Kluyveromyces lactis: one gene and its partners. The protein of the gene in region 3 interacts with the protein of the main gene of each other region in a biochemical or structural test. Links are inferred from orthologs where the notes say so. Each region holds a gene or a part of one and is shown on either strand. Other genes may lie near its edges. The genes, in order: PAH1, SSD1, PHO85, RVS167, ASH1, SHS1 and VIP1.

Evidence for each region.
Region 1: of the proteins of PHO85 (region 3) and PAH1, one has a biochemical effect on the other in vitro, tested with the Saccharomyces cerevisiae proteins (9 studies listed by BioGRID). The link is inferred for Kluyveromyces lactis from reciprocal best matches to the Saccharomyces cerevisiae genes PHO85 and PAH1.
Region 2: of the proteins of PHO85 (region 3) and SSD1, one has a biochemical effect on the other in vitro, tested with the Saccharomyces cerevisiae proteins (2 studies listed by BioGRID). The link is inferred for Kluyveromyces lactis from reciprocal best matches to the Saccharomyces cerevisiae genes PHO85 and SSD1.
Region 4: of the proteins of PHO85 (region 3) and RVS167, one has a biochemical effect on the other in vitro, tested with the Saccharomyces cerevisiae proteins (2 studies listed by BioGRID). The link is inferred for Kluyveromyces lactis from reciprocal best matches to the Saccharomyces cerevisiae genes PHO85 and RVS167.
Region 5: of the proteins of PHO85 (region 3) and ASH1, one has a biochemical effect on the other in vitro, tested with the Saccharomyces cerevisiae proteins (2 studies listed by BioGRID). The link is inferred for Kluyveromyces lactis from reciprocal best matches to the Saccharomyces cerevisiae genes PHO85 and ASH1.
Region 6: of the proteins of PHO85 (region 3) and SHS1, one has a biochemical effect on the other in vitro, tested with the Saccharomyces cerevisiae proteins (2 studies listed by BioGRID). The link is inferred for Kluyveromyces lactis from reciprocal best matches to the Saccharomyces cerevisiae genes PHO85 and SHS1.
Region 7: of the proteins of PHO85 (region 3) and VIP1, one has a biochemical effect on the other in vitro, tested with the Saccharomyces cerevisiae proteins (2 studies listed by BioGRID). The link is inferred for Kluyveromyces lactis from reciprocal best matches to the Saccharomyces cerevisiae genes PHO85 and VIP1.

The regions. Positions count from the first base shown.
Region 1 is NC_006040.1:831,419-835,689, forward strand, and holds PAH1 (phosphatidate phosphatase PAH1), read right to left. Parts: upstream 2,801-4,271; coding exon 416-2,800; downstream 1-415. Other genes in the region: MME1 (Mme1p), read right to left, coding at 3,486-4,271. UniProt on the Saccharomyces cerevisiae protein: Mg(2+)-dependent phosphatidate (PA) phosphatase which catalyzes the dephosphorylation of PA to yield diacylglycerol. Required for de novo lipid synthesis and formation of lipid droplets.
Region 2 is NC_006039.1:905,574-909,647, forward strand, and holds the start of SSD1 (mRNA-binding translational repressor SSD1), read left to right. Parts: upstream 1-1,274; coding exon 1,275-4,074. Other genes in the region: PUT2 (1-pyrroline-5-carboxylate dehydrogenase), read left to right, coding at 1-45. UniProt on the Saccharomyces cerevisiae protein: Can suppress the lethality due to deletion of SIT4, and partially the defects due to BCY1 disruption. Is implicated in the control of the cell cycle G1 phase.
Region 3 is NC_006040.1:1,022,395-1,025,415, forward strand, and holds PHO85 (cyclin-dependent serine/threonine-protein kinase PHO85), read right to left. Parts: upstream 1,551-3,021; coding exon 1,534-1,550; intron 1,399-1,533; coding exon 501-1,398; downstream 1-500. Other genes in the region: KLLA0_D11968g (uncharacterized protein), read left to right, coding at 1-388; TRM44 (tRNA (uracil) methyltransferase), read left to right, coding at 2,196-3,021.
Region 4 is NC_006041.1:280,307-283,329, reverse strand, and holds RVS167 (amphiphysin), read right to left. Parts: upstream 1,788-3,023; coding exon 501-1,787; downstream 1-500. Other genes in the region: CIN10 (Cin10p), read left to right, coding at 2,743-3,023. UniProt on the Saccharomyces cerevisiae protein: Component of a cytoskeletal structure that is required for the formation of endocytic vesicles at the plasma membrane level.
Region 5 is NC_006038.1:232,169-235,435, reverse strand, and holds ASH1 (DNA-binding transcription repressor ASH1), read right to left. Parts: upstream 1,884-3,267; coding exon 501-1,883; downstream 1-500. Other genes in the region: MTR2 (Mtr2p), read left to right, coding at 3,026-3,267. UniProt on the Saccharomyces cerevisiae protein: Component of the RPD3C(L) histone deacetylase complex (HDAC). Responsible for the deacetylation of lysine residues on the N-terminal part of the core histones (H2A, H2B, H3 and H4).
Region 6 is NC_006042.1:1,938,219-1,941,844, forward strand, and holds SHS1 (septin SHS1), read left to right. Parts: upstream 1-1,470; coding exon 1,471-3,126; downstream 3,127-3,626. Other genes in the region: GCR2 (Gcr2p), read right to left, coding at 1-618. UniProt on the Saccharomyces cerevisiae protein: Septins are GTPases involved in cytokinesis that assemble early in the cell cycle as a patch at the incipient bud site and form a ring approximately 15 minutes before bud emergence, which transforms into an hour-glass shaped collar of cortical filaments that spans both sides of the mother-bud neck.
Region 7 is NC_006038.1:251,105-255,352, forward strand, and holds the start of VIP1 (inositol polyphosphate kinase VIP1), read right to left. Parts: upstream 2,801-4,248; coding exon 1-2,800. Other genes in the region: rRNA-processing protein UTP21, read left to right, coding at 3,343-4,248. UniProt on the Saccharomyces cerevisiae protein: Bifunctional inositol kinase that acts in concert with the IP6K kinases to synthesize the diphosphate group-containing inositol pyrophosphates diphosphoinositol pentakisphosphate, PP-InsP5, and bis-diphosphoinositol tetrakisphosphate, (PP)2-InsP4.

The DNA of each region.
Region 1 (4,271 bases), about 190 kb from region 3:
CCAGCGACATGACAAGACATAGAAGTAAATAAAAATGTAGAAATCAATCTCCGTCAAAATTTTACCAACAGGTGTAAGCGATTTCATTACTAAATATTGAAATTACTCCATCAGCTGGATAGGAAGATTGTCAAACTAGGTTAGAAATTTTTTACATATATGGGTCATTCCGATTTGAAGTTTATATTATTTCTAAATACGAGTGACTAGGTACTTTGAATGAATGAGGAAATGTTAATCCGACTCCCAACATAGTAACAGTTCAAAACTGGGGGTATTGCAAGCAATATTCTTGGGCATTTTTACTCTCGTGCTTTTCAACTCATGCCGTCATTAAATTCATGATGTTCTGCACTGAGGTACATAATGTCTGTATAATCCTGATGGACTGTATTTGTAGTTCCTTGAAAAATAGTCAAAACTCGTCTTCATCAAATTCATCTTCATATTCATCCGAGATGTTTTCGGAACCTTGATCTGTTGTTAAAGATTCTTGTTCAGAGAAATGTTGATCCGGATTATGTCCTTTTTCATCGCTTGGTATTTCCTTATCAAAAGAGTTATTGTTTGAATTCGATGAATTAGTATTTCTACGGCTTGTTTGCGACTGCAGTTGACCCATTACTGGTCCCGATCCATCGTTATATACATTAACCGGTTGGACTTCTAGCGTCGAAGGCGTGCGGGCAGAAAGATGATCAAAAGTCAAAATACTATTTTCACTAGATGAATGTCTTTTCAAAGGCTGCTGGTTCTTTTGGGATAGTTCAGAATTATTAGAATATCCATTATTGTAAGGTGAATTAGTATTCATATCGAGATCAGAGTCTTGTACCTTGAGGACAGGAGATGATAACGGCGATCCCAGGTTCAGGTACATCCTTTGTCCAATATTATCAGGATCACTTTTTCTCCGAGGTGTCAACAACAGTTCCGTGTCATTGCCTTCCCGAGGCTCATGCACAGACAATCTATTTTTGTTAGTCTGGTTAGCAGTACCATTGGTTGTACTGTTCCTAATACCTTCGTTGTAAATTTCTTTCGATGGAGAGGTTGCCTTCTCAGAATCGTTGCTTAGATCAGAGAGTTCATCAAGGTCGGGAATTGGTTCTCGCCAGTAATTTACGTCGGTATACTTCTCATCATTGGCTCGATAGAATGATTTTTCATCATGCATTATGTTTGTTCCATACGGCGAACCCGGAGTTGTTGAAATACTCCGAGCATCTTCAGCGACAAATGGGTACTTTTTGACAGGCGGGAAGAAATGGTCTACAAGTTCATTAATATGGATGTAGGAACTTTTGTATCCTGCTAGCTCTAGTAATTCCATATGTACTTCCCCATCAGGGTTGATAGTGAAAATACGAGAACTTGGAATACCAACGGTTCTATACGACAAGGCATCTGTGATACGATTGCCAAAACCAGCAATAAAAGGAGTTGGCATCTCATCAGCATCATCTTTTCGGTTATTAGATTCTGGGAAATACAATGCCTTCATGTCTTTTAAACATGCGATTTTGAACACTTCAGGTTTCTTTAGAATAACTTCCCTTCGCAATGCTGCCATTGTTCTATCTGGCGAGAGAATAACCGGCCCAATGGGTAATGTACAACCATTTTGTACAATACTTCTTAGGTAAGATCTTGTGGAATCAGATTGTCCTGCCGTCCTGGCAGTTAAATACATGATGTTATAGCCGTTCCCTCTGATTTCTGTAAAAAGCTTCGCAACGCCAGGATGAGTCCAATCTTTACCAATCATGGTTAGGACGTGACCCAAGGCATCAGATTTAGTAATTGTACCGTCAATATCGGAAATCACAATTGGATCGTCCCACTTCCAATAGAAAAGTTTTGCTGTGATAATTGCTCGTCCCTTATCTACCGAGAATGTTAAATCGTTTTCACCATTCGACAAATCTAAACATTTCAACTGTTTGGACGTTAATCTGATAGTTTTGATAAAGTGTGTTGTTGCAGTTGCAGCCGATGGGACTTCAACTCTACTGTTATCGGTGCTAAAGGATGGTGTTCCTTCATTTGATGAGTAACCGAGGACCGATTGATGCTCGGAATACAAGGAGTCCGACGATGTCATAGGTGGAGAATTGGGAGGAGAAGTAGCCCAACATGGATCTGTTGGGTTCACTATCCGAATGTTTCCCTTTTCATCCTCCTTCACAAACTCTGACAAGTCTACATCTTCTCCAAGTTCATCGTACAACAGCTGTTTTAACAATTCATCAGTGTCGTTTACTTTATTTTTACTCGTTTTATAACCTTCAATATCAAGTAATAGATCTCCATTATTATCAACAGTGGATGGTATCTGTTTCTGTGTTAGCGTTTTAGTAATTCTTTGGATTGGTGTCGGTGTAGTTGGTCTCTCAATCTTTGAATCATTGATATCTAAAAAGTCGGGTTCTTCAAGGGCATCATCCTTTGTCGTTGGCTTGCTCTCAGGACTACTGGCAGCGCTAACAACAGGCGAAGATATCAATTCGTCTGGGATACCTTCCAAGTCAGCTAAAGTCTCAAACACGAAATAAGCCTCACCAGAATCTCCAAGCTTCATTGGGATGTCCGTTGATTGTCCGTTAACCAAGACCTCTACCTTCTTCTGAGATGGTTTTAAGATCTGAAACTTACCAAACCTAACATGAAATGGCGAGCATGCCAACTCGCCATCAGGGTGCTCTACCACTATAACATCTATTGCTCCGGATAATGTTGCTGGATTGATCGAAGACCATGTCTTCGATACAGAGTCAAAAGCTCTGCCCACGTATTGCATCTATTTCGAATATCGCGGATGGTCAGAACAAAGCCTCTGTGTCGTCTAGTTTATCAGACTATCTGCAAAGGCGCGTTTTGAAGTTATCTTTCCCCAATTAACCTATACCCGTTTTGTGACATTTCAATATTAGCTTCATTTCTTTAAATAACATCGTTTACACTTTTTCATTTTATTACATACATTTTCCAACGTTTATTCTAAACATTAAAGTATGCAGGAAAAGGAAGAATAGAGATGTTGAACAATTCAATGAGGTAGATGGATTTATAATTTGAAGAGTGATCGCCAGGTGAACAGGCAATACAGTTGCAATTATAACCCAGCAAAGGCGTCTTATAAGAATGTCTTTAATAATAAGAAATATGGAAAATGTATATACAAGGATTTCTTAAAGGGAGACTATGTTCAGTACGTCCTTATGTTAAGCTTAGCTACGAGGTGTATTCTTGGGAAAATCACCAGCAGATGAGAAAAGGAACCGAGTAGTTTATCTCTAATGATTCGTAAAGATAGATAATACTGATTAAAATGTGTAAAGCGCGCAATCACTTGCAATTGAGCGACGAGTTCATTTTATTGATGAGAGCAGCAATTTTGTACAGGAATAGTGATACAGTTGAATAAACAGTTGTGATTTGTCGAAGCGAGATTCATAAAGATGGTGGGGATAGTTTGTCAGGTGTTAAAGTTTCTTTTCATCTGAAAGCTTACTGTCCAAGGTTTTTAATGCAACTTGATATAATAGCAACATGATACTACTTTGTATACTTGTCCAAATAAATCTTGGTCCAACACCGCTGAATAATCCAGCGAGACCTTCTGTCTTGTAAACGGTCATCATGCCTTTCGTAATGGAATTTGTCAACGTTTGCTGCTTTAAATTCTGAGAACTATTTTCAGGGATATCTGGTAGCTGTGTCTGGATTCTTGTCTTTACAACATCTAATGGAGTTGTTATGATACCAGCAAGACCACCTGCAGCAGCACCGGTAATTATTTCGTTACTCAGAGATAAATCTTCATCAAACGTTTTATTCTCTACTGCGAATGCAAGTTGTCTAAATTTCTCATAAAATGCAAATTGTAACCCAGAAAACGGTAGATCCCGACTCAAGGTTGCTTTATAACCAAAGAATAAAGTTGGCCATCCTTCTCGCCTCACAATGGTTGTGACGGCATCTGTGAGGTTTTTGTAATTATAGCCGCTGCGGAAAAACGGGTTGTTATAACGGCCTTGCAATTGTAATCTGGTCTTTAACACTTCACTGGGCACATACACGAAACTACTAATGAAATCACCAAGGAACCCTGCAGTTAAGTGAGAGAAAGTTTCATTTATTCCCCATTCACCAATCATTTTTCTTTTGGTGTACTCGTAAGTAGCAAAGAAAATTGCCGCGCTGGGGAAGGATCCGAGCATTGCACCCGAGTAACCTCCGTATAAACCCTTGCGCAACCCTTCCTCCAG
Region 2 (4,074 bases), on a different chromosome or scaffold from region 3:
TATTATGAATTGACAGACTACAGATATCCATCCAATTACGAATAAGTATATCGACCTGCATGAACTTTAAATTCCCAATCTATATAAATGTACAAATACCTAAACTCTTCAAGAAATAAAGTCTTTTTTTAGCGAAACGGAGACAACCTTGGACATGTATACGACAGTCACGCTGTAAGTGCTACTTTCGATGGTGCATGCCCAAGATCTCTCAAGCAGCTTCATTGTATATGAGGATGCCTTGTCTTTCAAACAGGCACATGTCCGGGTGACATTACTTGTGAGGCTAAAAATACTCCATATATTATTACATGTAAAACAGTGTGGATCCACCTCGTTTTAGATAGAATATAATAAATAATATGAAAAAACATGCTAATTAGTGACAATTTTTTAATATTCTACTTGCAATAGACTTGTTGAACTGACGAACGATATCGTTCAACATAATGTTTCGTTGAGCTATGGACGGACTTTTCATACTTCTTGACTTTGGCGTCCAATCTAACTGACTTGTTCCGAATTTGACTTTTTGCAAGTGGAGGGTAACAGAAAAGATTTTTTTTAGAAACTGCTAAAAGTGGAAATAGCTGATTTTATAAAATGAATTTTTGAAGAAGTTGAATTTAGAAGGAAGAAAAGATCAATTTAAGGAGTAAAGCCAAATTTGATCCCCCAAAACAGAACGGACCAACAGCTTCAAAGTCCTGCAAAGCTATCAATTATAGTTTATAGAGGGTTATTTTCTCTCTGCGAGTGTGTTTTTTTCTGTTTTCTTAGGATTATCTATCTTCGTTTTACTCGGGCTTGAATATTTCTTTCTAGTTCCCTTCTTTTTTTTTGGAGTTTTGCAATACCGTGTGATACAAGGTTTTCGAAAGCTTTGTCATCAGTGATATCATTTACTTGTGCTTTCACCAAACATTGTACGTTTTACAATTTGACTTATCCTCAAGTGAAATAGCTTCTCCCCTCCTTTTGAAATCTCTTTTTGTCATTCTGTCGATCTTCCCGTTTTATTGCTAATTTGAAATTGGGACTTTTTATTTTCTTTGACGATATACATTATTGGCTTTTAGTTAAATTTTCCTTTGAACGGCTCAATCACTTATAGTTTTTGGCACTGATTGATAGAACTACGTCTTGAATTTATTGGCGGAATCTTAGCGGATTATCTCGGAATCATAGTAACTATAGAATCTGTGACCTGGATACCAAAATATAATATTTACAACAATATCAGTACTAAAGGGCAAAATTAACCTAAAGTTATTATGCCAGAACAAGAAAGATTTGTTCAGACTACCGGTGGTAAGGGTACTCCGAAGCAAATTCACATTGCTCATAGGAAATCTCCTTCTGAACTTACGAATTTAATGATTGAGCAGTTTACTCTACAAAAACAGATCGAGAATAATAGTAGTGGCGGAAACTTAGGCGTACAGGGACAATCTGCCGCCAACTTTTTACCGCAACCACCCAACGTGCAGTATCAACTGTCCCCAAATTCAGGTAATAGAAAAGGCAGGTCTCATTCTAGAAGTGGTTCTGCATTCTACAACAATAACGATCACAAACAAAATCCTGCTGCAGGTGGACACAGAAGAACTGGCTCTCAGACGAGCGTATATGGACATTCCAGAAGACAATCCATTGGTTTGAATGAAGCCAAGAGAGCCGCTGCAGAAGAACAAGCAAAAAGAGAAAGTGGACCTCAGATCAAAATTGACAATGTTCAAGATATCCCTAAGTTAGTCGATGAAAATGAACAAACGAGCTTCAAATTCCCTGGATCTCCAACAACCGAGTCTAAGAATCTAGGTCACCGTAGAACTCAGTCAAATATGTCCCCTAATAGATCATTCCAGTTTCCACCTGCTAAGTTGAACCAAAAGGAAAACAATGATGATTTCATACCCGTTGGAACCCCGCATCGTCGCACTAATTCGAAAAATGAAGGTATCGACGGTAATTGGAGGTTGCAACAACAGCAACAGCAGGTATCGCCATTTCATCACTCTAGAACGCATTCAAGAGAATATTCAGGCCACCCAGGTTTGGAACCACCACCTGTCTTCCAACCAGGTCATAAATCACGTGGATCCAATGCTTCTTCCCACAGTTTTACCTCGGCAAATGGCCAGCAAAACTCCAATGGCCGTAAATCACTTTTCGCACCCTATTTGCCACAAGCTAACATTCCTCAACTAATTGAAGAAGGCAAATTGGTTGCAGGTATTCTACGGGTCAACAAGAAAAATAGATCGGATGCCTGGGTTTCGACCAACGGTGTGTTGGACGCCGATATTTTCATTTGTGGTTCGAAGGATCGTAATAGAGCTTTGGAAGGTGATCTTGTTGCCGTTGAGCTTTTGATGGTTGACGATGTCTGGGAATCGAAAAAGGAAAAGGAAGAGAAGAAGAGAAGAAAAGATGCAAGCACTCAACAAGATATTATTCCACTAGACTCTAAAGATGATTACCATAATGATGCTTCAACAAGTATTGTTACAAGCGCATCATGCTCTAGTGAAAATAAAGGATCAGATGCTACATTGGGATCTTCATCTGGCTCCATCAAAAGAAGAGGATCATTGAAGCAGCGCCCAACTCAAAAGAAGAATGATGACGTAGAGGTTGAAGGTCAATCTTTATTATTGGTCGAGGAAGAAGAGATTAATGATGATTACAGGCCTTTGTACGCTGGACACGTAGTCGCGGTGTTAGACCGTATTCCGGGCCAACTATTTAGCGGTACTTTGGGTCTATTAAGACCATCTCAACAAGCGAACAACGATGTGAATAAGCCAAATAAGCCGAAAATTGTTTGGTTCAAACCTACCGATAAGAAAGTTCCTCTAATTGCCATTTCGATAGAACAGGCGCCTAAGGACTTCGTCGAAAATGCTGATAAGTATCTGAATAAAGTTTTCGTTGCTAGCATCAAGCGCTGGCCAATCACTTCTTTGCATCCCTTTGGTACTCTTGTCTCGCAATTAGGCGATGTGAACGATCCAAAAACTGAGATTGATTCAATTTTGAGAGACAATAATTTCTTAAGTGATGAATATTTAGACCCTCAGGACCGTACAAAGGAGAGAGATAGTTTTGCACCTGTATTGCTTTCAGAAGAGCAAAGCAAAACAAGGCGTACTTATGAAAATGTCATTGCCATTTCAGAAACTGGTGAAGTTTCTGATTATGCGGTCCATTTAAGAGACACTGACAACGGTAACCTTGAATTAGGATTTCATGTTGTTGATGTAACAGTCCATATTGAAGAAGGTTCATCTTTGGATAGAAGAGCTAGGAAAAGATCTAGCGCTGTCTTCATGCCACAGAAGACTGTTGGTTTGCTTCCAGCCGCTCTGAATGAATTCTTAAGTTTGCAGCCCGAGAAACTGTCAAACACTGTCAGTATAATATATGAACTGAAGCCTGAAAACTTTGATATTGTTACAACGTGGATAGGCGAGACTCGTGTCAAGCCAAACACCTCATTGACACATGACAGGCTTAATCAAGAATTGGAGAGATCTTCAGCTTCGGGCTCAAAGTTTGTTGAGAAACTTGAGGCAGTGGCTAAAGAATTTTACCGCTGTAGGCTTAACTCCAAAAATGCTGATTTATACAGGACTTTGCCCCTTTTGGAATCTCTCGATGACGAGAAGGTTAAAGTTGATTTGAATATTTTACAACGTTCTAAAGCTTTGACCCTTTTATCGGAAATAGAGCGTAAAGTGAATAATACCGTTGCTACTCGATTGTTCACTTCCCTGGGAGATGTTGCTTTCTTGAGAAGACAACCAGAACCAATTTCTACCAAATTGAAAACGTTCCAAAAGAAAGTTGAAAAACTTGGCGTTGAGATGGATATAACAAGTTCTGAATCAGTTTTGAATTCAATTCTTGCCATAGATAATAACACTACAAGAATGGCGGTTGAGTTATTTTTATCCAAGACCTTAACACCGGCTAAATATTTCATATCTGGTAAAGTCGAACCTGACCAATTTGCGCATTATTCATTGAATTTGCCATTGTTCACACATTTCACAGCTCCTTTGAGAAGAT
Region 3 (3,021 bases):
CCATACTAACCAAGGTCAATATAACATCAACCATTTATTCCATGCCATTATCTTGGTAACTCACATCTCATCGGTGTTACCTTCTAAATCCTTGGATAATAATGGACCCTTAATCGAACTAATCAACAACATATATTTGACTCCTGCTGGTCAGCAGTTACATGAGTTGCTATTAGTAGACGATTATACTGACGAAGAGGCGTTTAGTAGAAGGAGAATACGTGTCCTGAACAAATTCATCAATAAATTCTACAAGTTGGAAGAAACAAGACCATTGTTATTGTCTCAGGACGTCTTATGGGAAACCTTGGTCGACGTTAAGGACAAACATGTTATGAAACTTATTATGGAATATGGAGGACAGCCTAGCATCAACGTAATTCAATAAATCCGTAATATAAAAAGTAAAAGGAATGGTTACAGATTACTATACACTTATTTATTTATTTATTTGTTTGTTTGTATCTTTAGATGAGCAAGGCTATCTAAATCTAAAATCGTTAGTTGGCATGGTTATATTCTGCAAACCATGGGTGGTTCAAGGCATCCTTTGCAGAAAGTCTTGCATCTGGGTTCAGTTGCAATAGACCATGCAATAGATCCACTACATTATCGTCCAACACTTCCTCCGTATTGTTTTGTAATAGCTGTTTCAAATCACGAGGCATATGTGGAGGCAAAAGTGGATTGTATTTAGCCAATTGAGTCACTTGCGGCCATGTCTGCTCCACTGGAGTACCCATCGTATCGAATATGAGTTTCAACTGTTCCTCATCGTTGGAACCAGGGAATAACGGTTTCCCCATAATCATTTCAGCCAAGATACATCCGCATGACCAAATATCGATTGAAGTGCAATAGTTTCTTGACCCCATCAACACATCAGGAGCCCTATACCAAAGAGTCACCACTTCACTGCTGAAAGTGTTAACTGGGATACCAAATGCACGAGCCAACCCAAAATCACCAAGTTTCAATTGACCTCTGTTATTGATCAACAAGTTCTGAGGTTTCAAATCACGATGCAAGATCCTGTTCTCATGGCAAAACGCTACACCTTGTAACAACTGCCATTGGAAATATTTCACCAAATCCATCTCTAAGCCCTTATGAGAATTTCCCTTGTTTCTATTGTCCATGAACTTCTTAAGGTCATTATCCATGAATTCAAACACCAACGTCAACTTATTCTCAGTATGAATCACATCGAATAGCCTCACGATGTTATCATGTTTCAACTCTTTCATCAACGATATCTCCCTAATGGCCGTTGACGGAGTTCCTTCTTCGCTATCCAATTTCACTTCTTTCAAAGCAACGTATACACCAGTCGTCTTATTCAATCCTTTGTACACGGTAGCATACGTACCGTTACCAACCTTTTCAAGTTGCTTGAATCTGGTTTCATAGCGTAGTAGAGGGGACAAACGATTGCTGCGTTAGTATAAAAGTCAGAGTTATAGTGGTAAGGAGAAGTACTCATCTGCTTTGTACTCCTCGCTGCCAGTATCAAATATTCACAAAACTGCATACTGAGATGGTGCCACCATAGTTTATGTTTATTGATGATCCTTGGAATGGTCCTGAGAGCTATATAACCATTATCGGATCCTCTTTTTACATCTGTTCAAGAGATAATGATTCAAATAGGAATTGAAATCTTCAAATATTTAAGAATGGTGTTATCTAGAATAAAATAGTGGATACAGAAGGAAGTAACTTAGAAGAGGACAGAAATATTTGAGGTTTGGCAGTTGTGGCGTCCATCTCAGATAGTTTACTACCTAATTATATATGCGTACCATTTCAAAACTCTTCTTTCCCCTGTACTTGCTAATTATAATGCCAGTGACAAAAGTCTACTTGAAGATCTTCTAATATTAGACAGGAGTAAATACACAATTACGCTTTAATACCTGGAAATCTTATCCATTCATTTACAGTAGTAAATAATAATATTCATGTTGAACAACTTCCAAGTGGTTATATGGCTAAAGGCAGGAAGATATCTTGTATGTTGCTTCGAATTCCTGGTGCCTTTAGAGCATGAGTAACGTTCGAAGTGAAAAATTTAAAGAGGGCATCGATTCATCAACTAATAAGCAGTTTCAACGCAGACTCGAAGAACTCGATGGAATACCAGGATATAGAGAACCATATAGACTGTGCACAGGTAGAGTTGACGTAAGTTTGATATGACCTCGAATACGCTTCATTATACCGTGGAGAAATCCAGTATTTTGGGACCAGAATGGCAATCTTTATATTCGACAGCGGAACCTGTCGACTTCGATAAATCACATTTCGAACAAGCTATGCTAAATGTGATAAGGCAGCCTAATGTAAACTCGACTGTTATTCTACGTGCAGATATGCTTATAGACAATGAATACGACTTAGAGTCTGGTTCATGTGTGAAATCAGAGAAGAAAGACATCGCGTTGGGAAGCGATGAGGGTATATTGAAAGTAAACATCGATGATCTAGCACCGAGATCTGTACCGATAGCGTTGGCTGATGTTACCACAAAGTTCCAATTTGTTAGGAGGATTGTTCCGAGGAATCCATTCAAGGATGCTATCATTAATCAGACGTGTTTGGTTATGAATTCCAACTCAGATGCTTCAACCTCTTTAGTAATTTACATCCCACATTTTGATAATGCTGAGTTATGTCCGTTTTATATCCCACAAGTGGCTGCAGTAGGGATTCTATTGCATGATCACCAGCTATCGGTGCATTATATCCCTTTCGCAGGGCAAAAAGAGCTTCTTTTCGATCCAAAACAACGGGTGGTAAGAACTGCTTTCAGGTTATTACAAACAGCATACAAGCATTCGAAAGGTGTCAAAGATGGGTATGCGAAACGGGTAATGCATGACGTTGTCGTGGATAAAGTGTTGTTCCAGGACCAGTATATCCATTTGAAGAAGAAATACTCAAAGTTCTTGGTGGATAACTGGGCGGAAAGTACTGATCCAAAGAAACATGTCTTTGAAGATATCGCCATTGCAGCTTTCT
Region 4 (3,023 bases), on a different chromosome or scaffold from region 3:
GTGTGCACTGCAGTGGGAGCAGTTGTGATGGTGGGAGCTAATTGTTGCATTGAAATACATAGCTGGTTTTAAGTATATATAGAGACGTATCTCTTTCTGTTCCTGCAGTAAGGCTTAGTGTACTTTCTCATGGAATTCTTTTCCATCTTACCTGCTGTGTGCTTGGAAACCAGTGTGATTTTAGTGGCTGGCTCTGCTACTGGTGATGTGTAGAAATATAGGGGCATGTAGACAGGGGTTCTGACGAACCCCTTTCGTCTCCATGAAGCAATGTCTGACTATTGCCAGGTGACCAAATATCGTCAATTCCGTCGATAGTGATGTGCATTCTGTATCCTTTAAAAGCTATGGGGCATTCTTGAATTAAACAAGGTTAGAGTATATAGTAACTACAGGCTAGGAGAGCTTTTCTTTTGCTTTATTATTTTTTTCAAGTTCAGTCTATACACAGCAGAAAGGGAATGGAAAGTGACCAAGAGATTAGTTTTCTTTTGTTTTCATTATTGTTTCGATAGTTCGACGTAGTTCCCAGGGAATACACCTTGGACGCCATTGTAGACACCGACCCACCATCCTGCTGCATCGGAACGATCCACGACTTGGATTATGGCACCAGCAGGGAACGTCAAATCACCTTCGGCTTGGGCCGTGTAATCGTATAAAGCGGTACATGTCTCCACTCCTGCACTAGTGGGAGGAGTGTATGATGCCTGGGTCGCAGTGGTGGGCACCGAATTGTATCCTGCGATACCAGCGGCACCTGCAACACCTCCGATTGGATACTGTTGTTGCTGTTGCGGCTGTTGTAGTTTTGAGTCATAGCCCATCTGTTGTGGCTGTTCAGGCTGACCGTATGTTTGGCCGTATGCGGGTGGGCTCATTGGACTTCCAGGACTTGAGTCGTCAGTAGCACCATATCTTCTTCTGGTTAAATCTAGTTTGGCCTTCGAGTATCCCAGCTTGAAATGAGTAATGGTTAGTGCATCTGTTTGCTCTTCAATGTTGCCTCTTTTAGCTTGGAATGCCTCCAAGATGTCAGTATCCAGGTCAAAGTATGGGATCTTCATGTCTTGGAACCTGTTGTATAAGGTGTAGAAGATATTCAATTGCATGTAGTAGAATGAAACAAATAATGGTTTCACGAACTCTGATTCCAATTGGAAAAGTATAGGTAATTCAGTTTTCAACATATCGTTGTAGTAGTCGTATTCTTGTTGCATTACGGCGACTTGAGCCTCGGCTTTATATTTTTTCTCCTCATCCTTTGGCGTTGGATTCTGTTTTTGTTCATATTTGTTGTACGTGTTCAAGCTCCTATCCAAATCTAGCTTTTTATGGTTTCTCTTGGTGGACATCTTTCTAATGTAATTAATAATGTTCAAAAGCTCTTGTGCTGGTTTAACAATTTTCTCGTCAATCAGAGTTAGATCAGGCTTTAAAGTAGCTTGCAACTCAGAAACAATTGCACTGTACTGCTCACTCGCTTCAATACCTTCTGGATTGTCTTCTGGCACAGCGGCATTGGGATCGGACATCTTACCACTAATTGGCTTGAAAATTTCCGACATTGCCTTAGAAAATCCAATTTGATGCTCTAGCATACCGTTCACGGCATTGAAATATCTCTTTGACTCATCGCTCAACTTCTTCGTTTCCGATTCCAATTCCTTGAAACGACGATCAGCATCCTCATAAACAGGATCAACAGTCTGCTGACCCATGTTCAGTTTTTGCCTAAAAGACTGGGGTGCTCTGGCGACAGCTTTTGTAAAACCTTTGAACGACATGACTCTCTAGGGGGAAAATATATTGATTGTTATTTGCTTTCTTATTCGCTGTATACGCTCTAAACTTCAAAACTTAACGCTTTTTATCTGTTTAAATTCACGTTCTTCGTGTTTTTTATTTGAGTGCTCTCTCTCTTTGCCCTTATAATAAATTAACTTTCTTTCCCTCGACAAAGACGCTTGTTTGTCCTTCGAAAGATTAATTTAAGTTCAGATTTGCTCTAACAGACAACTCGTTGACACGCTGATTAGATATATATACCGCTTCAGTTGCCTTTCAAGTTTGCCCCTTTTACATGCCCTTCCAAAGTGATGAAATTGAAATTGTCCAAAGTTTGAATTTTTTTGAAATTGTATTGTGCATCGGCAAAAGCGTACAGAAAGGAAAAAGGCTTGGCTTAGTTCATCGGAAATTGGCCCAATGCATTTGAGCAGTAGGCTTGTGAAAAGTTAAGGGGATGGTCTATACTGTTATTAACGCCCATTGGTTCTCCTATTGGTTGTAATTTGAGTGCGTATCACTCAAATATGCTGCAAGCTTGACCTTGTTTTTTTTTAGGCCTGCTGACTCTAGGCTAATAGTCAATGTACCCTTCGGTTGAGAATAGTTGTGGAGCAAGGTACATAAAGTGCAGCAAGATTCTTGGTAGGATATAAGTTAGGTATATTTTTACATAACGGTTGTTTCGTTATGGATATTACAAGTAGTTTCGAGAAGTTACTGTCATTGGAGATGTTGTTTGTCCTCTTTTCATTTTAATGTCTTAATATAGTAAATGACACTTTAAATTACCGAATGGGATTTAAACCATTTTCTGACTCCAAGGCTCGAACAAAGATTTACAAACTTTAAACACTTGCTGTAATATCCCACCGATCTGTTCATAGAGCGGCGTTCTTACAATCCGTTGGACAGCAAAATCCAGCATATATTCTCTTAACCTGGTACCGTATTATGGTGGACGATATTGTACGATCTTCCTCACCGCAGCGAGATAGCAGTGTCGAAGATGTGTATTCGGATTTGTACTCCACTTTCTCTCAGATGACCACCACCACTGCAAATGATATTGAACAACGACCATACCCATTCACATGGAGGACGGGTATTATGTTTGTTAGTTCGACAATTGGTGGGATGCTTTTCGGTTACGATACTGGTGTAATTTCTGGGGTTTTAATAGCAATGAATCCAAAGGATTTAAACTTTCATAGTTTGGAAATTTGGCAAAAGGA
Region 5 (3,267 bases), on a different chromosome or scaffold from region 3:
ATATTAAAGCAAAACGAAAGCAAGTGATGAGATATTGACGGTTCCAGTTATTTATATTTTTGATGAAGTTTTTTTTTTTTTTTTTTTTTTTTTTTTTCATTTTCAGATAGCGAACATACATCGATCTTGACGTAAATGGCATATTAATGAAAAGAAAGAAAAAATCATTCACTTTATGAAGAGGTCTGAAGCAGCTACTAAGTGCCAGTCATCAATATCAACCTATGATATTGATGCTCAAAGATCAGAAGTGTGAAAATATTAATTTACGCTACATTAGATAAATTATAGGAAGAATATATGTTTAGATTATATCATTATATTAATCAAATTAGTTAGAATTGAAGGGAAAGGGAATAGTGGAAATATTATCCGGACAAACAAGGGAAAAGAGAAGTAAGTATTTATAAATGCAATATTAGAAGGTAAAAAGCTCCGTTGAAAGTTGGGATCAGTTAATTATGCAAGGAAGGTTGGTTTTTTTATCAGGCTTTTCTGCCCTATTCGTCAGTAGCAACGGCGTGACCGCAGAACAAACATGCTATTTTGTAATCAGTATTTCCGTCAGCGTCCTCAATCGAAACTGGCTTGTTTGATTTCATAAGTGTCAATTCACCTTTTGAAGGTATTTTACGGCAAGTTTCATTGGTGCATCTTGTATGGGTCTTCTTATAACGGAGCCCACAAGAATTACAAAGCTGATCTTGTTTGCTTTTAGACCAAGAAGGTCTCCAACACGGGGAATCTGTAATGTGACATGAAACGCAAAATCTATGAGAGTTACGCCTTTGTGTTGGAGAGCTTTTGGGAGATGTTTGGACTAGCTCTTGGTCGGTGTCGTCTTCTGAGTTGGAGTTCGCCGAAGTCTTTTCGCCGAAATCCTCCACGCTGTTGATCACAATAGGATGAAATCTCTGTTGGGGAGATTGAAGAGATTTTGGAGTTGTGGATAGTGTAATCTTCTTTTGTGGAGGGGTCTTTGGTGGTGCAGGATTAGCCTTAAATACCGACTTTTGTGATTCGAATTTGTCTTCATATGTAAGCAATATGCGTTGATCCAGCATCTTCTTCAGTTTTCTTGCTTTAAAACTGTTGGTCTTCTTATGTTTTGAGGAACGGTTCTTCTTTACCGCTTTAACTAATGATTCGCTGATCATAGAAGTGAATTGTCTGGGAGGACTACTTGGTGGGGTTACCAGTACTTTGCTGGAGCTTGAAGTGTTTGAAAGTTGATAGAATTCATCTGGTGAAGTATTGATCGATGATATTCTAGCAGCATCGGCTAAAATATTTAATCCATGAGTAAAATTACCAGCTCTTGGATTAGCTTGAGATACCTGATCTGTAATGTTTTGGTACTGAGTGTAATTAGTTTCCTTACACCACTCTGTTAAGTTTTGCCTCCATAGAGGCGTGGAGGCACAAGTGTCTGGATAGAGGTACGAAAACTCTTGTATTTTAGGATGTGCCAATAACTTTAGATGCTTTAATGGTTGTAGTGCTGGTTGCGAGGGTTGCGCAACCTCATTCTGTAGTTGTGAACAGGAAGGCAGTTGAGTTGATTTTCCAATATTGTTACTGCTGTTGCTGCTAATGCTGCTTCCCTCACATACTGTCTGTCTCCATATGGAAGAATTAGATGAAGCGGACACTGGTGATGTAGTAGGCGTGATTTGTACGAATCCAGAAGGTGAGGCTGGCGCCGTTTTAGATTTTTTCCGGGCGTCAAAGAAATATGGCGATTCTTCTAATGTCATTGGGGCGTTCAAACTGGTACTTAAAGATGGCAATAATAGATCATCAAAGGATCTTTTTCTTCTTGCGTAGAACTTTTGCTCGGCGTGAGGATTGGTGAATGGTAAAGGGTTCGAAATAGTGGACATCGTTAGCTTGAATAGTGAAAAGGTCGAAGCGATGGGAAATGAGCTGATTCGATGCTCTATAATGGGGAACAAGTTACGGTGTTAATTGAAGTAAATTATTGATGTGTAACACAGTTGTCAGGACCAGTGTTTGAAGAGTGAAGAAATATATCAGGCCTTATAAGGATTAGCTAGAACTGTCATATATCAACCACGATACCTAATTCAGTAAAAATAAGGGGATTATCTTTCCAATCGATCTGAAAGAATTGTCCCATGGAAACCCAGATTTGGATTCTGGTTTATATACTCTAGGGATACTGAACCAATTTCAATCAGTTCAGTCCCGCAAACTTAGTAGGAATCCATATATCGATGAAACAGAAAAAAGTGTAAACAAAGAATACCTGCGCCAAACCCGCAGAGGGTTTACCGAATTTTTTTCGATTTGGCAAAAGAATTCATACTTGTTCTATGCCTGCAAAACTAAAGGGAAAGACAAAAGATATACTTCTTTTTCTCTTACCGGCTATAAAATTGATCAAAACTAGTCAACCATTGTTTACAAAATCATATATCATGTAATGGAATCGCGCAGCGATGTTCACTTAGCTTTCAGATCTCTGTTTATGTTTATTTTTCCACACCAAGTCTTGGTATCTGTTCGGCTGGTATTATGGATTTACATTTCGATGCTGGGTTTTTCATGTTTACACTTTCTTCACATATGCAAGCAGAAAATAGAATTTAAAAAAAAAAGAATACTAGTGCGCGAGGCAGCTTGACAAAAGTGCTGGCAAAAGAGACATAAGGAAAAGAAAAATCCGACTCTACAATATGTACGCTAGATATTTGCTCGAGTCGATCAGCATTTAGAGTTGTGTTTGCATGTGTTCATTTGAGAGATTTTGAAATCAGGGTCTACCTAAAATCATCAAGGAAATTACAACGCGTACATATATTGTTTGTTACCCGCATTTGATGAAGCTAGTCAATTGAATTTACCCAAGATGAAATTTGGAGAGAAGAAGACTTCTTTCCATAGATTTAATAATAAAATTTTTGATCGATGTTGAAATTAATAGTATTAAGGTAAACGTTATCAAAGCCTTCAATAAAAATCAGCAAATCTCTTTAAAGCATCATCAACTGATATTATCAAAATGAATCGTCAACCTCAAATCGTGGAGACTTTTGTGAAGAAAGTACTGGCTCATCTAGATGAGCCCGATCCAGCAAAGTTGGAACAATTCCTACAGCTATTTAACCCACATCAGTGCAAAATAATATTCAATTCCCAACCGTTTGGACAGGCAGTGCAATTCCTTCAGGCATGGCAAACTGGAGTGGTACTGACGCAGCACGTTATCACCGCGGTTGATTTCCATGTGATACCAGGTACCGG
Region 6 (3,626 bases), on a different chromosome or scaffold from region 3:
TTCCAGTTTATTATCCACCTGTGATAATGAAAAGTCCGGTGAAGTGATTGTATTTACAACCGATTTACGTCTGGGGGCAAGCACGGGCGATTCCCTAGCAGACGCAGTGGTACTTTTCCCTGGCCTCCTCAACGGTGTTATTAACCCCGTTGTCTTGTCGTAGACTTTGTCGATGTTGAAAGATAATACCTGCCATAGAGGATCGTCCACGTTATCCCGTATCTTCCAGTTGTTCTCATCCAACTTCAAAAAATACCGATTGTACGGGCTCACGTCATAACTTAGCAATATCTCTTTCAATATCTGTTGAAATCGCTGAAACAATTCGATATTTGATTTGGGTACGTTCGATTGTTCATCTAAGGGTACGATTGTCACTAGAGCATCGTAAAGTTGTGAGAGACTTTGGAAATATTGCATATGACGTTCGTCCAAGGGTTTCAGCGATATAGGAGATTGCTGATTCGGACTAATCGTGGAATTCAATAGCTCGGGAAGCTCCAAGACTTCTCCGTTGGATATCAATTGGTAACCCTTGATCAAAAATACGTCGAGCTTGATCTGATGATGCATGATGCCTGTCGGACTACTATGTGAAGTGCTCCCGATATCAGACATGGCTCTTCCAGTATGTGTACGTAGCAGGGGAGGGCCGATCTTTGAAGTCCGTAACAAGCAGTTCAAAGACCTTAAGTATGCTGCCGCTTCCGCAGATTTTCTCGCTTACTGTGTATTTCTTTCTCTCTTTCTCTCTATCTTTCGTTTCGTTAAGGTGCAACATTTCCACATTGCATCACCTTATGTTCTAGCAAGAACTAAAAGCGACAAAATTGCAAAACAAAGACGCATCTCATTGAACACATAGAGCCCTTCTGCAAGGGCTAAAATCCGAAGCCTTTCATATGTAGACCAAGGCAGTACCAAAGCTAGCCGGACCTAGATCGAAGATCGTTATCAACTTATAACGTAATCCACTGACGGACATATACATTCACATCACTGAGACAGAAATATAAGTCACGTGAAGAAGTGGCGCCATATATATGTATATATGCCTTAGTTCCCCAATACATAGACTAGTTACGATATGTGGTTCATCGAACTGTAACCATTTGATGTTCCCATGTCACTGGTAACTTTTGTCCTTGCCTTAGGTATCTTTGAGTGTCTCATTTCCCATGGCTATGTTCGAGCCTTTTAATCGGTGAAAAGTTTCGAAACGGTTAATATCACGTAAAAGATATCAATTCCATATTTAAATTTAGACGAGAATGTAATTTGACTGAAACAACAACGTCTTTTGATAAAAAAAGTGTATTCTATACGTTGCAGAGCTACATTAATCAAGTGAACCATTGAACGAGACGAGTTTCAATCAATTGGATAGGAATCATTGTACTTTGGCGATTCTATTTAGAATATAATTGGAAGTGAAAAGTGAAGCCGTTTGATCTTGGAAGCAATAAAAAGATGTCCGCTAGTCCTGTATCTCAGGTATTCTCACCAAGCAACAATGGGGTCAGTGTGTTCCGTAGAAAGAAGGAGAAGAGAGGTATTACTTTCTCGATGATGTTGGTTGGTGCTTCTGGTACTGGTAAGACCACTTTCGCTAACAATTTATTGGAATCTACCATTTTCCCTCATAGATATCAACAAGATGTTCCAGCTAGCACGAATAACGAGAATGTTAAGATTATCCAACCAACTAAGGTTGTCACGTTCAATTCGATGAACGGTATTCCCAGCTACATGTCGGCATTTGATCCAGCCTCGCCGTTTTTGGAACCAGGTATCACTGTGACGTCTACTGCCCTGGAGATCACGACGAAATCTAGTGAGGATATCGATAGCGCTACCCCTGAAAAGATCAATTTCTTTCTCACCGACACCCTGGGACTGGGTGAAAACTTAAATAATGGGATCTGTTTCGATGAGATTGCTTCATATTTGGAGCAACAATTTGATTCGGTACTCGCTGAGGAGACCAGAATCAAGAGAAATCCAAGGTTCCAGGATACAAGAGTTCATGTCGCGTTATACTTTATTGAACCCACGGGACATGGGTTACGTGAATTGGATGTTGAAATTATGAAGAGACTATCCCGCTACACAAATGTTCTACCAATTGTCGCTAGAGCAGATTCGTTCACACCTGATGAATTGACTAGGTTCAAGAAGAGAATTATGGAAGACATTGATAGATTTAACGTTCCTATCTACAAATTCGAAGTTGACGAAAATGAGGATGATCTAGAAACAATTGAAGAGAACAAGGCATTAGCGAGACTTCAGCCGTTTGCTATTATCTGCGCCGACCAACGCGATAATGCTACCGGTAAATACTATCGTGAGTATCCATGGGGTAAAATTGACATCGATAATGAAAACATTTCGGACTTGAAATTGTTGAAAAGGGTTCTCTTCGGGTCCCATTTGCAAGAGTTTAAGGACACGACACAAAATCTGTTGTATGAAAACTACCGTGCTGAGAAATTGGCGTCTGTGCCAGCCTGGGACATTGAAAACAACGAAGTTATAGATACTTCTATCAATGACGAAAACAATGAGGGTAATTCTTCAGGGTTGATGAAAGGGTTGACTAGAAACAGTACAGCTCCATCCTTGTCAAATTTCGCCTCTCTAATAAATACAGGAAAGTTTAAGTCTCAACAATCACTTGCAATTCCACCTCAATCTGAAACCCCATCTACACCACGTCTAACCGGGGTAGATGAAGGAGATGAGTCTCGCGCTTCAATCTCTGCCAGTTCACAGAAATCTACTCCTGCCAATATTCAAACTTCTCCAGAAAGAACAAAGTTACGGAATATTTCCGAAAATATCCCATACATGCTTCAGCACGAGCGCATAGTAGCAAGGAAACAAAAGCTTGAAGAATTGGAGGCACAATCTGCCAAAGAGTTACAAAAGAGAATTCAAGAACTTGAAAGAAAGGCTATTGAATTGAAGATGAAGGAAAAGCTACTAAGACAAAACTCACATAGTCAATCTCAAGAATCTATCCAGACTAATACAACTAAACAAAATTCAACTTCTGGAGGTGCTTACATTAAGAAAGAGGAAACCTATAACGATTTAGCTTCGATAATCAGCAAAAAAGAATGAATTCAGTCTTGATATCTTTCTTTGGCATTTTTGTAAGTCGAAGTGTTTGGTTCCTGAAACGATTTCATATGTAATTTAAACAATATTGATTATTTTGTATATTGCAAACGGTCACGTCTAGATTGATCTGCTACCTGTTTCCAAATTTGATGAGTTTAAGATGGTGATGTAAAAATCAGAAAAATATACGTACTGTTACAGGTATATATATATATATAATATAATAATGAGTTAAGGTATTTTCGTGCCACTTATCAATAAATGGAATTTATCTGTTCAGATGACATAGTATTATGAGATAAAAAAGATTGGTGAAAAATTTATGTTCATCCAGTGCTTCAAGATAAAAAATAGCTAGTGTAACTGGAGAGAACTAAGAAAACCGAAAAATGCAAAATAATGTTCCCGATGGCAATTAAAAACATCAAGAAACAACATTCATTCAGCGACGATGAGAAAAGGCACTGGGGGAAATAATAGGAAAAGAGATTTAACCGAAT
Region 7 (4,248 bases), on a different chromosome or scaffold from region 3:
TGAACAATTCCCTTAATTGAATGAACTTCGGATCATCGAATGTGGAATTCGAAGAACGGGGTGATTTGGATCCGCTTTCAACACTTTCAAGAACCCATCCAAGAGATCCGACACTATTCGAACTTTTTGAATTAGAGGAAGATTGGTTAGTCATTTGGGCATTAGAAGAGTCTGGGATTTTGAAGTTGTTTCTAGCTAAAATATTGATGGGGTACCTGTCAACCAAAGAATGATGACAGACCTCTTCGTTTTCAACTTCAGTATCATCATCAGGCATGAAGATGTGCTCTAAAAACTGTCTGTTGTGAAGAGCATCGTACTTCATAGTATCATATAATTCACTAATCTTGGATGGATCTACCTTATCCACAGTAACAAACTCTTTGAACAGCTTATCCCAACGCTCCTTGAATAGCATTGAATCTTCTGCACAGCACCAGCATGTTTGCATTTCTTCAACGTTTTTTGTAGCAAAGTTGTGATCCATGATTTTTTTATGGTAGTTCATTAAATCAACAACTCTCTTTATGACTAAGTAAGGTTCAGGCATCTTAGCAGGCCAAGCAAATTGAGGTGGTGCCTCCTTCCCCATTCTTAATAATGGTTTTAGTTTCTTTTTCACCTTATCCATAAGGTCTTTAGCTGCATTGGAGTCATCTAGCAAGTCTTTTCTTATACTGATCTCGTCGCTACTAATTTCATCCGCACCGAATAGAGCTGTGGCCCATATTTGGGCCGAAACTAGAACCCTCCTTTCGGAAGAAGAAAATATCTTGATGTTGTGCAAGATGTTCTTGTTTAACAAATCAAAGTCTTGTCTCATCTGCTCACCTAATTCTTCAGCTTGGAAATGAGCGGAGTGTGTTGGCTCACCACCCCATTTGAGAATGAATTGAACCTTCTCCACTTCGTTGTCTTTGTTCAGAACTGGTTTTAATTGAATCTTAGTTCCAGGAAAACTGATTTTTTTTTCCAAAGCGTTTGCTAAGACAGCAAGTTTCGCTGGATCTTCAGCATTTTCCTCTTGTGCAATTTTGAGTGCTTGCAGAACAATTTGCAAGTCATTGATATTTCTTATGACTACTTCTTCTTTGTGACCTTTCAATAAAGACAAAAATATCGGAGAGGTAAACGAGTGCTTGAGTTTCTGTTTTGGTGTACGGTCTGCATGACGGATAACAGTAACTAGCCCCTTAAATACCCATTTTTGAGTTTTCTCCTCTTGAATTGCAGGAAGGTTCCGCTTTTCTAGGTCCATCAATTTTTTGGCGTTGTAGAAGGTATCTCTCAAAATTTTGGCACAGGCATCATAGTATTCTGTGTTATCTTTGACAAATGAAAACCCATTAACATCAATGACATAACTCTTGCCCTCAACACGTAATAAATCGAAACCACAGATCATTTGAGCGAACGTCTTCGACACTTGACGAGCCATTTCTTTTTCTTCTGGAGAAAGTTCAGTAATATATCTAATTTCCTTTCCGTGAGTGTTTCTGCGCACAATACCATCGACTACAGGGGATTTTCTGGTTTCAGCATGACAAAAAGTTTCACCTACAGTGTATGCTTTCACATCTTCGAAATTATCGGTATCCATGAATTTTTCGTAGATGTATGAACCTTCAGTACGAGGTTGAATCAAAGTAGGGTCAAATTCGGAAGATTTATTACCGACCTTTCTGAATAATCTACGCCCACCGCCTCCGTTTTTCGAATGATAATAGATGTATATATTGTGATCTTCACCATCCACAGGTTTTTCAACGAATGGTTTGGTCATCACCTTACCCTCAACTTCCAAGGTGTCATCGTCCACCATTCTCCAGTTGGGTTCTTGAACAGTTGAAACAATAACTCCACGTTCGGCAAGCATAGATTTCAGTTCATCATCAATTTTGGGACCACCATCTCTTGTAATTTCCAATCTAGGAGGGGTAGGTACGTTGCTTGCCGCCAGCAACCTGAGACACAACCTTCTATCCCACAATACTTTTTGCATAATCAAATCATTAATGATATATGGTTTTCTTAACTTGACATATTTGATAGCCTTTTCTAGAGGGAACCCATTGGAAAAGAATGATATTAGAAAGTCGCAAGTAGGCCAGTTTTCAATGCTTTCATCCAATATAACTTTATCGCCAAAAATTATAGTCTCAAACTCACCGTGTTCAATTAGTCTGTTTAAGATATGTCTGCATGGCTTGGATAACACTTTCGCATCCATGGCACAAACACCAATTTTACCAATCTTTGGTAGCTGAGGCTTGGACGAGGAAGTTGAAGCTTTCCTCGAAGAATTTGTCGAACTTGGAGTTGTTGATCCGTCAGTGTTGGTTGTGACAGCTTCATTAGAGACTAATGCTTGCGGAATGAAGGGGAATGCATGAGGTTCTTCCAGCATAGGAGATGGACTAGGCGATCCTTCCAGAATAGCAGAAACTGATGCTGATCCACTTTGGTTACTTTTCAGTCTTTGAAGCTTGTTACCATTCATGCTATCGAATGAGGTGCCTAGGACACTGGGAGTCATATGACGACCTGTCGAACCAGTAGAAGAAATACTAAGCGTTCTGACGAGCTTATTTGTCTCATCATCATCATCAGAGGTAAAACCAGCAGGTGGCAACTTCAACGACTTATTCTCACTAGAAGAGGTCTTCGGCGTGAACCCTTCAAGGATAGGAGCGATCGATTCCATAGCCTTTTTCGTATTCGAATCTAAAAACAGTGGAGGCATGGTATTTCCGTTGATTGCCTCTTGACCCTCATCAGAAATTGAACCTGGAGAAGACATGACTGGCAGTTCTGCAATTTGATTATAACCAATGCTGAAACTTCAGTTAAAATTATTTTGTAGATCGTTGCAATTAATCGATTTCTGTTATAAGCGGATGCATGGTACGATTATTCCCCATGTGTTTAATTTTGTATATAAATTTATATGTGAAGGATAATAGTGAAAACTTGATAGAAAACTGTGAGTAATTCTGAAGTAAAGACCAGTATCTAAGCAACACCTCCATGTGTTTCGCTAGTGAGATTTCAGACTGTGGTATGGTTACTATCTAATGGCATCTAATGGTGAAGTTACATAGTATCTTCTCTATCCAAGTCTAAGAATCACATTTGCAGGTTGATCCCCCTTATGTGTCACGTGATATTCTGATTTCTTTTTCTGTTTCAGCGATGAAAATTTCGAAGCTCGACGTTTTAAAGAAGCGATGAGATGAGATGAGATGAGATAGATACCTATCGTCAGCAGCTAATTACTGGATTCGCTTGTTGTTCAGTTAATTAAGCGATTGCATAAAGTCACAGAACAGTGCATTAGCAATCATGACAGTGGATGGATCGTTAAAGAAACGAAGAGTTGGTTCTTCCGGCGCTGTTAGGAAACATGCTTCCAGAATATTTTCTCCGTATAGAATTGTAGGTAATGTATCTACTGGAGTTCCTTATGCGATTGGTACCCTAGGTACGACCTTCTACATTGTGACTTCTGTTGGTAAGTCGTTTCAGATCTTTGATGCCAATAATTTGCATCTGCTATTCGTTTCAGATAAGGAGACAGAGGGAGACATTACTTGTTTGGCAGCGCATTTTCATTACGTTTATGCAAGTTTTAAGAATAAAGTTGGGATCTATAAGAGAGGTAAGCTAGAACATTTGATTGAATTACCTGATCCAAATACCGTGGTGACCAAAATTAACGTTTTCGGTGAATATTTGATTGCTTCTACAGATAATAATGTTGTTTATATCTATAAGAAAAATTCCCCATCTGATAAATTCGCTACTGAATTATACACCAATTTCACCATTGGTAAGTTACAAGGTGGTGATATTGTTGATTTGGTGCATTTACCAACATATGTTAACAAGTTGCTCGTTGTGACTAAGTCTAATTTCACCTTGTTTAACGTTCGGACCGGAAAACAATTGTACACTTCCGATGAGTTCCCCGATGAGATCACCACTGCTGAACCTGCACCTGCTTTAGACATCGTTGCCTTTGGTACATCATCTGGTGAAGTTATTTTATTCAATTTGCGTAAGGGTAAGAAAATCAGAACCATTAAAACGCCGACGAGAATTTCTTCAATCTCTTTCAGAACGGATGGTGCTTCTCATATCTCAGTAGCATCAACCAGTGGTGATTTGATCTTTTATGACTTAGATCATCGCTCACGTGTTCAAGTGTTAAAAGGCATTCACAAGGAAGTGAATGGTGGTGTTGCAAGA